2 linked regions of the Diceros bicornis minor genome follow. The protein of the gene in region 2 interacts with the protein of the main gene of each other region in a biochemical or structural test. Links are inferred from orthologs where the notes say so. Each region holds a gene or a part of one and is shown on either strand. Other genes may lie near its edges.

Region 1 (6,819 bases), on a different chromosome or scaffold from region 2:
CCTATCGCACCTGATGCTCCTGGATTCACTATCATTTACCTGATCCCTCTCTGAGAACTACTAGAAGCCCTTGAGGCACCCTTGGATCTGCCAACTCACCTGCATTACTGCTCCTGAGCTTCTTGGCAGATTTGGTAACGACCGAGTTGGGGTCATGTGGGGAGAGCCAGGACACGAGGTCTGTGTCCACATTCCAGTAGTAAGGGAGCCCGCTGTGGGGCAGTGGGAGGGAGGGAGGGATAGAGAAGGAATGTCAGCACAGATGTTACCTCCTTGTAGCCTCAACTCTTGTCTCCCCAGTCTCCGCCTCTACCTGGCCCATGTCAGGACCCCGTGGGGAGGACCCCCAGATCTCTTAACCCGAGGTCAGGGACAGCACAGGAAGGATGAAGTCAGAAGTCAGTTCCCTCCCCCCTGGCCAGGTCCCCAGGCTCACCAGGAAGGGTCGAACACCTTGTACCAGCTTGGTGGCAGGCCCTCCAACCGGGTGGCCTCATAGTCCACAGGGTCATCGTCATAGTCCTCGGCAATGATCTCTTCCTCTGGTTCTGGCATGGCGGGGGGAGGAGGAGAGCAGTGAGGAGCAGGGGGATTCTCATCCTACAGTTAGAGCCTGGAGAGACACTAGCATTCACACAGACCACGTGTGTGTGCCAGGTCTCACCGGCCCTGGCAGATACTGCTCACATTCCAAAGCCACTTATCTGGATATCGGGATTTACCAAAAACTGTACTTAAATCTGTTCTGTTTCTGGGTTCACATAAGATATGTTACCCAAAGCTATTACCCAAAGCTATCTGGTTTCAGAGTTTAGATAGGGATTCACCAACAAATGTATCCATATTTATTCAGTTCCTGAGTTCAGGTAGTATGTGACACCACACTATCCAAATCTGTTTGGATCAAATGAGTTTGAACAGCAAGGGGTTTATCTGAAAATATGTCCAAATCTATTCAGCTCCCAAACTTGGCAAATATGGGGTTTCTGACGCCTGTATATTGAGTAGCAAGAGTTTGGATACCAAGGGATTTATCCAAACACTGCTCTGAATCTATTCAGTTCCTGACACATAGTAAGCATGCAGCAGTTGTCAGTTCATATCAGTAAAATTAAAAGGGTGTATATTGTCAGCCCAGTAGCTGACCTTCAGTAGGCCTATCACAGATTTCAGCTGCAGAAATAACTAACAATGAAATGCACAGGCATACCTCAGAGAGACTGCAGGTCTGGTTCCAGATCACCGCAAGAAAGTGAATATTGCGATAAAGTGAGTCACACGGATTTTTTGGTTTCCCACTGCTCCTAAGAGTTATGTTTACACTATACTGTAGTCTATTAAGTGTGCAATAGCATTATGTCTAAAAAACAATGTATATACCTTAATTAAAAGTACTTATTGCTAAAAAATGCTAACCATTCTTCAGCCTTCAGCGAGTCGTAATCTTTTTGCTGGTGGAGGGTCTTGTAAAAAACACAGTATCTGCGAAGCACAATAAAATGAAGTATGCCTGTATATGTCAGCAACAGCATAGTGCCTGTCACACAGTAGGCCCAAAATAGATATCAGCTATAATCATCAGTATTTTTAATAAGATATATATACTCTCAGCACAGGGCCTAGTACTCAATAGGCTTAAAATAAATATCAATGATCATTATCAGTATTATTAACCACAAGATCTATGCCTGGCACACAGTAGGCTTATAATAGATGTCACTTATCAATACGGTGAAAATAAGATGTATTTTCCAGTGCCCGGCATACTATAGCTCAAAATAGATGCCAGCTTTTACTATTATTGACAAGGTATAAATATTAGCAGCAGCAGCACAGTAGGCCTAAATGATAGATCCTATCGTTATTTTATACTGTTAACCATAATGTGTATGCCAGGCACTTAGTAGACCCAAAATACATGTCAGCTATTAATGTGAACAATAAGGTATGTATCACCAGCATAGTGCCTGACACCATGGGAGGTCTGAAATAATGTTATGAGTATGGTAAAGAACAAAGTATTAGCATCCTGCCACTGTACTTGGCGCACGCACAGGAGACTGCAAATGTCAGCTATCTTCACTATTAGATACTTTGTAACCACTTCCATAGATTGATTGATGGATTGAACCTGGCATACAGTAGGCCCAAAATAGTCATCAGCTGTCAGTATTAAGGATGAAATATCTATCTCCCCCATGCCTGGCACATGGTAGGAATGGGTGTCAGGAATCCCCATTTTTAACAGTGAAATGCCTGCCACCCCACTGCCTGGTGCACAGTAGGCCCATGCTAGTTATCAAGTGGCAGTCTCAACAACAAAGTGCCTCTCAAGCCTGGCACATGGTAGGCCCATCTGCTCTTAGCTCTCACCGGGCTCCAGATGTTTGAGGATGCCTCTCTTGGCCAAGCGGGTCTGCAGCGCAACGGGTAGCGGCATAGCGGGTAGCAGACAGACCTAGGGACAGATGGACAGACTAAAAACCAGCTCAGATGAGGACTCAAATCTGGAGCCCGTAACCAAACGCCTCCCCCGAGCATGTACTCATCTGGACCCCCACCTACCCACCTGCAACAGTAGCTGGGTGGACGGAACCTAAGCGGGAGAAGGCGGAAGAGATAGATGGCAATATCACCAAAACTCTCACCAACCCTCCCCTCCAGGCCGGGTGCTCCATGACCGGGTTCCTATCCCAGGCCCAGGCTCCACCCATAGCTGAAGGGGCCAGCACAGCTCCCCCGCGCCCCAGAAATGGGTTCACCCAACGTCCCCCAAAGACTGCCGGGTAGGAGGAACCAAAGCGCTGAGAAGGGGGAGGAGAATGCAGTACTTCCTCCCGCTCCAAAAAATGCGCCCACTCCGACGTTACCAATACAGTCACGCGGGTAGTGGAAGGCTGTCAGACCGGCCGCCTCTCTCTTGTCGCCCCTTGATCACCAGGACCCCACAACTCTCTTCTCCCAAAGCACAGAACGAGGTCCTCTCTCCCCGAGGCTTGGAGTAACTGGATGACGCTCAGGCTGCGGTGAACAGACGACGCAAGCCGGGGTGACCAATGAGAGCGCGCCCTTGGCCTGACGTATGGCCAAGCGACCCAATCGTCGCCCTGGAAGAGTTGGACAGCTCGGGCGCCTGTGTGCGTTTACAGTGGGGGCGTGGCCCGGCCGGGGTTTAGCCAGACTGCGCGGCAGGACGCCGGCGCCATGGAGGAGTACGCTCGGGAGCCTTGGTACGGCGATGGGCACAGGCATCGGGACTGTTGCTGTGGTGCCACGGCCAGCTGTGGGAGGCGGGCGGGGGAGGCACCGGCCACACAGCGCCACATCCCAGACTCGGGAGACGTTTAAAATCTGTCTCCTTTGCTCCCCTCCACTTGATTCCTCCCACTCGGGCTCCGTTAAGAGGGGCCCCAACTGTATACCTGGAAGTGAAGGACGAGCCACCCCACGTTTCCCCTGACTACGTATCTCCCAGCCCCTCTTTGTTAACGAAAAGACACGCTGGTCGAATCCATTCCAGCTGGGGGGTGGTGTGTTGAGCGGAAATCCCCAGGGTTACCACGCGTGGTTTTTCCCAGGTCGCTGTAGTTAATGGGGGCGGGGCCTGGATGAGCCTATTCTGGGCAAGGAGGGGGTGCTGGATCCTCCCCACGGTCGGCTCTCGGTTTTTCCCATTCGCGCGCGGTTAAAAAAGGGGGAAAGGGCGGGGCTTGATTGGATGGGCTCGTTGTCGGAGAAGGGGCTGTGACCCTGTACTGCTTTAATAATAATACTAGCTAGTCAACACTTCTATAGCGCTTGTTTAAACGTGCCAACTCTTTGCTTGTATCAATTCATTTAATCTTTGATAGTAGTAAAGCTGATTCCTTGGTTGACTGCGAAGGGGAGGGTAGGACTGGGCAAAGACTAATATTTTTCCCGTTTTGCACTATTTCTTGCTTAAATGAGGGGAAAAATAATCTCATTATCTGAAGTGCTACTTCCCTTTCAGGTGACTTGGTTTCTTCCAGTTAGAAAGTCCATGTGACATGGCATGGGGGAGGGCACACATTAACCCCATCTCCCCTTCCCGCTTGCAGCCCATGGCGAATTGTGGATGATTGCGGTGGAGCCTTCACTATGGGTGTCATCGGCGGCGGAGTCTTCCAGGCCATCAAGGGCTTCCGCAACGCCCCTGTCGTGAGTCCTGGCCTTCCCTGGGTGGTGCCAGGATCCTGCCCTGTCCGCTTGGGATACTGCTCTGAAAAGTGCTTGGAGCTGCCAGTCACATGCACTTATTCATTCTGGTTCCTGATCGCCTGCTATGTGCCAGGCTTGGCTCCAGGATGAGGGGTTTTGGGAGAACTGCAAACATGGCCTCTGTCCCTCACCCCGCACCCAATTGGAGCTCCTCTGTGGAAATTTTGTGCTGTCAAAATGGTCATCGCTAAATCCTAAATGTGTGTGCAAAGATTTTACCTAGAGGCAGATTCTGGGTCAGAAACCTGGATAGAGGGAAGTGACAGGAGATTAATTGGCAGAAGGAGGGCAGCCTTAAAGTTGAGAAAATGCTTTTAATTTAACATAATCAATTCTGTCTCTTTCTCTGATACCCTTCCTCCTGGGAGATCTCATCAAATGTCATGGCTTTAAATGCCATCCATTTGCCAGGGTCTCTGCAACTGATACATCTAGCCCTGTCCCTCCCCTCATCTCCTGGAACTCTCTTTCCTGGATCTTTGCCTGAGTTTCTCCCTCTCATCCTCAAGGTCTCGGCACAAATGCCCCCTCCTTAAAGAGGTCTTTCCTGACCCCTCAGCCACTACCATACCTCTTCATTCTATTTCTTCTAGGGTGCATAGTGCTGTCTGAAGCTATTGTTTATCTGTACCCTTGCCCAAGATCTGTCTCTGCCACTATGATGTGAGCTCTGAGACGGCAGGGGCCAGGTCTGCCTTATTCACTGCTGTATCCCTGTGGACAGCATGGTGCCTGGCACATAGGAGCTGAGTAATCATTGAATGAATGAATGAGAGCTTCCCAACCCAGCTCTGAGAACACCTATGGTGAGGTGCTCCCCAGTCCCCTTGTTCTTGGCCTCTTCTCCATGTCTCTACCCTTGATACCCCTAACAGGTCTCCCACCCCCTTCCCTCTGTTAAAAGCTAGAAACCTTGTCTGCCAGTCGCTTTAACCCTGCCCTGACTCCCCTCCTCCTCACTTTCTCCCAGGGAGTTCGGCACCGATTGAGAGGTAGTGTCAACGCTGTGAGGATCCGAGCCCCCCAGATTGGAGGTGAGAGGCTTGGGGAGACATAGGAGATGTGATGGCAAAGTTGGGGGTGGTTCCTCCTTTGGGTCTAGACTGCAAGTTGGGGGTCCATATTCTAGCCTCAACTCTGCCTAGGACTTCCTGGGGGAGTGATGTTTCCCAACAATTTAATATGAGTGAGTTCTGGGGTTTAAATCCAGGCCCTGGCTCTTCCTTGCTGTGTGACCTTGGGCTAGTGGCTTAACTTCACTGAACCTCATCTGGAACACGGGGATGATGATAATAACTACCTCAGTCGTTTTGTAATGTATGTAATTTACATGGTACTTACTAAGTGCCGGTTGTTCTGCTGAGCACTTTAATAATATTAACTAATTTGAAATTTCAGAAGTCAAATAGCATGCAGTGCCTAGATCAGGCCCTGGCACACAATAAGGCCTCAGTAAACATTTTAGCTATCATATTGTTAACGGGCTTTCCTAACCTCTTCCTTCTCCATGAAACCAAGATCAGAATTTCAACTCTTTGTGGTAGTTGTGAAGATCAGAGTTGCTTTGTTCAAAGCCATATAGAAGATAGACCTCTTTTGAACACTTGTAACTCGCTCTGAAGGGGAAGGGAGTGTTGATGGCGATTATAGACAGCTTGAAGAAGGAGCTCCCACAGGGACAGATGGGGACTATCCCCACCTCCTTTGCTCTCTGCCTTTGTGTCTGGGTTTTGCTCCCCATTCTTTGCCAGAGCACTCAGGCCTTGGAAGTCCCCAGACCCTGAGCCGTGGATTCTCAGGATTCCCCAGGAACACTAATTAGGCCTTGGTCCCCCTGCAGGTAGCTTCGCGGTGTGGGGGGGCCTGTTCTCCACCATCGACTGCGGCCTAGTACGGCTGCGGGGCAAGGAAGATCCCTGGAACTCCATCACCAGTGGAGCATTGACCGGGGCTGTGCTGGCTGCCCGCAGTAAGTGCCCCAGTCCCTGGCCCCAGCCCCTTCCACCCTGTTCTGCCTGCCCTCACCTCTCTCTCCCTGCCTTCTCTCTCCTCCAGGTGGCCCATTGGCCATGGTGGGCTCGGCCATGATGGGGGGCATTCTCTTGGCCCTTATCGAGGGTGTTGGCATCCTCCTCACTCGCTACACTGCCCAGCAGTTCCGCAATGGTGAGTACCTAGCGAAGCTGATCAGGGAGAGGTGGCAAATCCTCTGCCTAGCCTCCTCCACTCACCTTTACCTGGTTCTCCCCTCTCCAGCACCCCCGTTCCTGGAGGACCCCAGCCAGCTGCCCCCTAAGGAGGGTACCCCGGCCCCAGGCTACCCCAGCTATCAGCAATACCACTGAGGAAGTGACCGCCTATCACCGCCACCGTGGGAGCGCCTCCTCGGTTCCCTCCCCGATGATCTACCTCGAAGGGAGGGCTGGCTCCCAGTTTGCCCTGGGACCTTCCAGAGAGGGCCTCTACTCTGCTGCCTTGTCCCAGGGTGGGGGTGGGGCACCCCAGCTGCCCTGACGGATAGGTCCCCTTCTCTCTCAGGGCACCCCAGCCTCACACTCACATGTAACAAGCTCTCACCCC
Region 2 (6,945 bases):
AATAATGAAACAAGAACCCACAACCGAAAACTACTAAAAAACTAAGTTCTCTCAAAGTGTTAAGGCATGATACTAAAAGTAAATCCTTTCTTTTCCTGGGGAAGTTCTCTGCCACAAACTTAACAGCTACATAATCAGGAAAATGGATGAACAAAGCTATTTAGCGTTACATTTATTTCCATTCACTAATTCAGTAGCATTTAACAAAGCAGTATAATAAATGCCAAAAAGAAATTATTTTCAAAAGTTTTTAACTCATTGGTAAAGGTAATCAAATAAACAATGTTATAATAACCTATCATGAGTTTATACGCAAAATTATTTCAGTTCAGTTTCCAAATATAGTATTTTGGCTTAGCAAATTTTATAGTGTTATAAGAAGCATAAGTATCTTTTCTGGCAAATAATGGGAAATGTTATTTGAAATCCACCAATCCCAAATAACAGGATGTACCAAACTACACTTATATCTAATAGGATGTTTCTGAAATCATACCTTCTTTAATTCTCTCTTCCGGGCTTCTTTTCCTTTAGAGAGGGAAAGAGAGAGAGAATATAAAACTGTCAAATCTTGAATGTTAACATTTTCTACAATTTAATACAGATAATTTTTTATTGTGGGAGGCTGCTCTGTGTACACTGTAGGATATTTAGCAGCATCCCTGGCCTCTACCCACTAGATGCCAATAGCATCCTTCTAATTACGTCAACTAAAAATGTCTCAAGATATTCTTAAGTTTCTTAAAAATAACTATGAATCTGAACGAAAAAGATTCCATAAAATAATAAATAAGAGCATGCAAAAACAATTTGTTCAAAATTCCAAATACAAAAAGAAAGATTTAAGCCAAGTCAATCAAATTAGAAATATGGGTACTAACTTTTTTTGTATGTTTAAAGTTTTAATCATGTGCCCACAAGAATACTAGATAACTTTATACAACTGACACCTCCTAGCACTGCTGATCCTGTAATTAAGACATAATGAAATAGACTCCTTAAAGTGTGTGATTTTTACCACTCCTCTTCTTCATCATTCCACAATAATGGACACTTACGGGCTTGGTCTGTGGGGTTCATAAATTTTCCACTCTTGGTGGATGACGTAGATCTCCGTCCCATGTTGACAATCTGTATGGTTTACTTGTTCATTAAAAAAAAAAATACCTGTGAAGACAAAGAAATAGCTTATTTTTCCTATATTTACAAAATTTCTTCCTACCAATCTTTGAAAAGAAACATTCTTTTGATTATAAAGACCTTGCTCTTTCCCTAGTTTTGACTTTAGTGTCCAGGAAAGATGACCTCAACCTTCCTGACCATGAAAAATTAGATTTGTTATTATTTATAAAAGTAATGGTTCTGAAGATTACTTTGAATATCACTAAGTCATCGATTTAATTTTCTTCTATGGATGACAACTTTGACTCATCAATTGAAACAAATCATCGGAAAATGCTTCAACAATACGACAAAAACCATGAGAGGCCACTAGTCCTTTTCCTACATCCTCCCTTTATTCATATGCAGCATGCAAGAGGAATAAAAAGGGAATGGAGTAATGATCTGGACTCAATGACAAACAGCTCACCCTTGCCTCTCTGCACGGTTTTTCTTGGCATGTACTCCCAACACCTCTAAGGCAGTAAAAACCTCATTAATTTAAGCCTATTTAATTCAGATTTAGATTTAATTCAGATCTAATTCTTGACTCTCCAGTGGGAGCTTAAAACATAAAAATGCCAATATTCGAAATGAACGTACTATATGAGAGAACTTCCAAAAACGTCAACATTAAGACATATATTTTTCTTAACTAGTACCTATTTGCCTCTTGATTTGTATTTTTTAAGGTAACTGAAAGGAATAATTGTGTTTAAGGGAAAATATCTGGTGAGTCAAAATTTTTATTAACCTAAGACACTTATATCATTTCTTCCTGTTATTCCAAATGAATGAGGTTTAACTTTTGACATTCTTTCCAATAATAAAGATTGACAAGTTTTCTTCCTTTTAAAAGTAGACACTTTTAAGGAACAGGAAAGGGAAGATGACGAGGTAAATTTTTTAGTAGATCTTACAATTATACCTTCCCTTCTTCCCTTTATGGAGACTGGCAGGCAAATTTATTAGATAATGCCTCTTTCAGCAAGTGTTCAATTGCCTTGATCTCTGCTAAATGCTTCAAAGGTGTTCCAGTGGCAACTAACTTATACCCCTGTCAAGGGTTTCCTTCTAGGAAAAACGGAGTGGGGGAGAAGGAAGGCGGAAACAAGCAAAATTAGTACAAATACAAGCTCTCCTATCTTTGATGGCCTGTAGCGCTTTTGCCTTCCTCTCTCAATGACCCTTACGCTCATGTTCTGACTCTCCTCTCCCACAACGGAAACACACAACAGATACGAACTGCAGAGAATTTTTACAGAAGGCATTGGCGCCTCAGTCTGCACAAATCACTTTTTTGTCTAAAAGCAGAGGGAACAGGGAAATCAGGCCACAAAACCGTGGGGGAACCCTAAACAGCCATAGAGGCTCCAATGGGACGGAGCCCAGGTCCACCAGAAGAGGCAACAGCAGCAACAACTGCCGAAACCATAGCGACGGTTGACCGCGACTCGAAGTCGAGACAGCAAACCCAAGGCAACCGGTCAACGCGCACAGACAGGAGGCGGGGCTAACCGACCAGGCTGAAGTCAGCTACTAAACCGCTGGACGCTGCGCCGCCCCCGGCTCGAGGATCCCACAGTTCGCGACCAGGAACCCCAACCGCGGAGAGGAAAAGCGGGGCAGAGGGGCCTGGTGTCCCAGGCAACCGCGCGGGCCCCGGAAAGGGGCGGGAAAGATGAAGGAGCAGAGTGGAACAATCTTGCACACTCACAGTTCTGCTGGGCTCCCGGGACTGCGAGAAGCGGGGCGGGGACGATTCTCGGCCTCTTTTACTTCGCAAGGGCCTTCACCTCTGCCTCCCGGTCAGCCATTGAGCCACCGCCATCTTGAAACCTCGCGCCCCTCCGCCATCCTTACGTCACTTCCTATCCCTACGGGCCGAGGATCCCAGCGTTTCTCCGCCCTGGAACCATAGAGAGTAACCAGGAACTCCAGAGCCAGAGTCTCTTCCGCTCCAATACGATACCGAATTGGTTGGTTATCGGCTAAGAGCCCGCCCTCGCCACGCAGTACGACTCTTTCACGTTGATTGACACTTATCTAGGTCAATAGAAATAAGAAAAAGGCAGCGGCTCTGATATATGATTGGCTGGTGAGACGACTGCCCCGCCTCTCGGCCCGGAGGCATTCTGACCTCATGTCCGGGAGTTCGAGTTATTGCGCCGCCCGATACCGGCTGAATGAAGATAGGGAGGTGTTTTGCCCTGTTTCTGTGTCCTGGAATTGTGTTAGTTTTTGAATTTTCTTTTTTTCATGACGTAAGCGAGTGAGATCTTTGGGGAGCGTCTGTTCGAAAACGAATCCCCAACTAACACTTGCTACTGTGTTTGATGCGCTTTGCTAGCGTCAGGTCTGTCTGGAAGCGCAGTATGTAGTTGTTTATAGACACGCAGAACATTTGTACGCCCGAGCAAATCAGTGTCCGTATTAAGAGTCCCAGATTGCTAATCTAGAAGATTAGTCTTTTGAAGATGAAGTGTGGGGATACATGTGCAGTAGGGTTTAAATTTACAATGGGGAAGTTGATTTACATTGGCTCTTTTCCCTTCTGGTCTTTTCCCCAGCCCAAAGGCCTTTATGATGTCACTAAACATAGAGAATTATCCCTTAGCTCGAGTCTTCGTTCTCTCCCTGTCTTCTATCCGTTCTTAGTCTCTAAGACTCCTATCTTTTCCCCTTAAAGGTAAGTTTAAACATTTAACAATTCTGTTCTTAAAGGACGTGCTTGTTTATTTTTGCTCTTATCTGAATATCCCTTATAGGAAAATATGTTAAATACAGACCGATTCTTATCAATATAAAAATTCCAAAATATTGTTGAGATACATATTAACTTTTAGCAGAATATGCAAATGTACATATGATATTGGTCCTTTGCCTGAACTAAGCCTTGTCTTAGAAAATTCTTGATTTGGTTTTAGACTGCATTTTGAGTTCCAGAAAGAGCAATAACAGGGTCTTGTAGTTTAAAGCTTATAAATCAGATGATAAACAAAAAAGAAAATAAGATTTAATTTTGAAGGTGAATTATATTGTGATGTTTTGCATCTAATTTAAAAAAGCAATGACAGAAGAGAAAGAAAATGAGTACATTTGAAAAATTAAAATATTTCATCTAGCTTTTTAATTTTTGAGATAGGCTGAGGTTTTTAAATTTCAAGACATTTCTTGAACTTGGATGCAAAAATTAGTTATAACAAACACATTCTTGCATCAACATCTTATTAATAATTTTGTAAGTGGAACCTAAGAGTCTTGGGGGAGTTATTAGTTGGTGAAGGATTTAGAGAACAGACATTTGCATCTTCAGAAATTCAACTGAACCATTAGGGCTCCATAGCCTCTGGATTTTTCTGAAATTAGGTAATTAGTGAAATAGGCCACTTAAAGCTTTGTATAGCAAGGGCAACTTCCTTCCTGCTAGTGTTAAAAATGAAATATCTTCTTCCTGAAAACTCATAAGGTGATAAATTATAACTTTCCTTTAAATGACAAATTCTTTTTTTTTTTTTTTTTTTTTTTGTGAGGAGATCAGCCCTGAGCTAACATCCGCCAATCCTCCTCCTTTTTTGCTGAGGAAGACGGCCCTGGGCTAACATCTGTGCCCATCCTCCTCCACTTTATATGGGACGCCGCCACAGCATGGCTTACCAAGCAGTGCGTCGGTGCGCGCCCGGGATCCGAACCAGCGAACCCCGGGCCGCCGCAGCGGAGCGCGCGCACTTAACCGCTTGCGCCACCGGGCCGGCCCCAAATGACAAATTCTTAAAAGAGTAACTACTTCCTCTCCTGCATCCTGAGTGCATTTTGTGCATATATAGCTGGGATTTGTTTGTTTGTTTATTTTTATTTTTTTGGTTGAGGGAGATTGTCACTGAGCTAATATCGGTGCCCATCTTTCTCTTTTTGCTTAAAGAAAACTGTCACTGAGCTAACCTCCGTCAGTCTTCCTCTATTTTGCATGTGGGATGCTGCCACAGCATGGCTTGATGAGCGGTATGTAGGTCTGTGCCCAGGATCTCAACCTGTGAACCCCAGGCTCCCAAAGCGGAGCACGCAAACTTAACCACTACACCACCTGGCCCGCCCCTCCCTGTTTGGTTGTTAAATGTTCCAGAATGTTCAAACTTTCACTTAAGGGATATTTAATCATCACACCACAGTTGGTCAGGGTTGATTGCAATTATAGAGACAGAACCGTTATTTTTTTAGTTTCAACTTTTATCTTTTAAAAATCTGTCCAGATTATAGTGTGTAATTAGTGGTTTACAGAACCATTGCCTCCTTTCATCATTGAAGTAAATTGTTACAAACCATATTTCAGTCTCTTCCAGTTTACAGAAAATTTGACTTAAACTGATGGTCAAAATTATGGTAGTATTTCTATCCCATTCGAAGACCCAGAGTTTGTGTCCAGGCAGAAGTTACTAAGTATGTCCCTTTACACGTACATGATGTCCAAAGGTGGTGGGAGAAATGAAAGTCTCTGCATTCAATGTAAATTTTAAGGATTTTGACTGGGAGTTAGAAAAGGAGAAGTTAACCCCTACACCTACTGCTCTCCAGTAGCATTCACAGTTATATTGATCTGGTAGAACAGAGTGAGAAGACATCCTGGAATATAATCTTTTACCTCAGGGTCTAGCACCAACCTATCCAGGCATTCATTGTTACTGGAAAACTCTAGAGTCATCTAGTTTTAGCATCTCTAATTCCTCTTTCCAAGTTGTTTACTGTATTTATGCCTATGTTGGAAGCTTATGGAAAATGAACCTACTCAAAGAAGCAAAACTATTATTGAGAAAGAAGGAGAAAAGTATTCCAGTGGCAAATAAAGTGGCTGTTTATTTCATTTGATGTTTCACTGTGTTGGTGACCTCAGTAATGGCTTGATGATATCTTTCTGAGGCTGACTTGAATTCCACCAGATGCTTCTCATAACTTTTGATGGCCGCTTGAAGCTGCGTTTTCTCCACTGCTCCCAGGATGGCACGGATGATCATGTCTATGCCAAGGCCAAGAACAGCAACTCCTATACTGCCAAGGAGAGAAGCACCAATTTGAGCTAATACCGTGACCAACTTGTTAATTATGCCAGTTGTGACATTTGAGCCCACAAGTTTGACAGCCACTGCACTGGCTGCAGAAGTCGCTTCTCCCAGGATGACTGAAATAACCTTTTGTACTATTGCAATTTTCTCTGTTTCCCTTTCCTTAATATCCTGAAGTTTTCTGTAGAGAGTTGGCTCTAGTTTATCTTTTAGTGCTTCATCAACCTTTTGCAGTTCCTTTTGGATTTTCATCATGGCTTGAATGATGATATCGCAGTTTTCTTTGATGGTCCCATCTCTTTTCATCTCAATGGCGGCCAGGCTGCACGCCAAGTGTGTGTTTAAAACCCCAGTCAGCTTGTTGGTGGCATGGAAGCTGTCAGATAAGCAGTCAAGGAGCTGCTGGTGCAGACGGTTTACTTCTTGCCGCCTCCTTGGGTTATCTGGGTAGAGGAAATCACTCTGAGCCATATTTGAAATAGGATCTCTGAAAAAGAAAATAGTAAATCTCTGCTAAAAATCTTGAAAAATATCTGCTGTCTGCATAGATTTGACCAGGAAATCTTTTACTTTGTGAATAGCAAAGTAGCAATATGCTATCTAAGGAATTCCTCAGAAAACTCAACAGGTTCTTCAAAACAGTTGTTTTTCTGAAACTTGGAGTCAGTGTATGGAAATGTGGGTAACAGAATACAACCTATTGATGCATTAATTAAGGCATTAGGTT

Evidence for each region.
Region 1: the proteins of WBP11 (region 2) and PQBP1 form a complex in vitro, tested with the Homo sapiens proteins (2 studies listed by BioGRID and IntAct, with this or other methods). The link is inferred for Diceros bicornis minor from reciprocal best matches to the Homo sapiens genes WBP11 and PQBP1.

The regions. Positions count from the first base shown.
Region 1 is NC_080781.1:42,157,538-42,164,356, reverse strand, and holds the start of PQBP1 (polyglutamine-binding protein 1), read right to left. Parts: upstream 3,014-6,819; 5' UTR 2,871-3,013; intron 2,597-2,870; exon of another isoform or gene 2,570-2,596; intron 2,459-2,569; 5' UTR 2,441-2,458; coding exon 2,374-2,440; intron 549-2,373; coding exon 437-548; intron 213-436; coding exon 100-212; intron 1-99. Other genes in the region: TIMM17B (mitochondrial import inner membrane translocase subunit Tim17-B), read left to right, coding at 3,205-3,230, 4,080-4,179, 5,210-5,273, 6,080-6,208, 6,295-6,405, 6,496-6,584. UniProt on the Homo sapiens protein: Intrinsically disordered protein that acts as a scaffold, and which is involved in different processes, such as pre-mRNA splicing, transcription regulation, innate immunity and neuron development.
Region 2 is NC_080756.1:46,417,402-46,424,346, reverse strand, and holds the start of WBP11 (WW domain-binding protein 11), read right to left. Parts: upstream 3,011-6,945; 5' UTR 2,879-3,010; intron 1,168-2,878; 5' UTR 1,123-1,167; coding exon 1,059-1,122; intron 529-1,058; coding exon 497-528; intron 1-496. Other genes in the region: SMCO3 (single-pass membrane and coiled-coil domain-containing protein 3), read right to left, coding at 6,012-6,689. UniProt on the Homo sapiens protein: Activates pre-mRNA splicing. May inhibit PP1 phosphatase activity.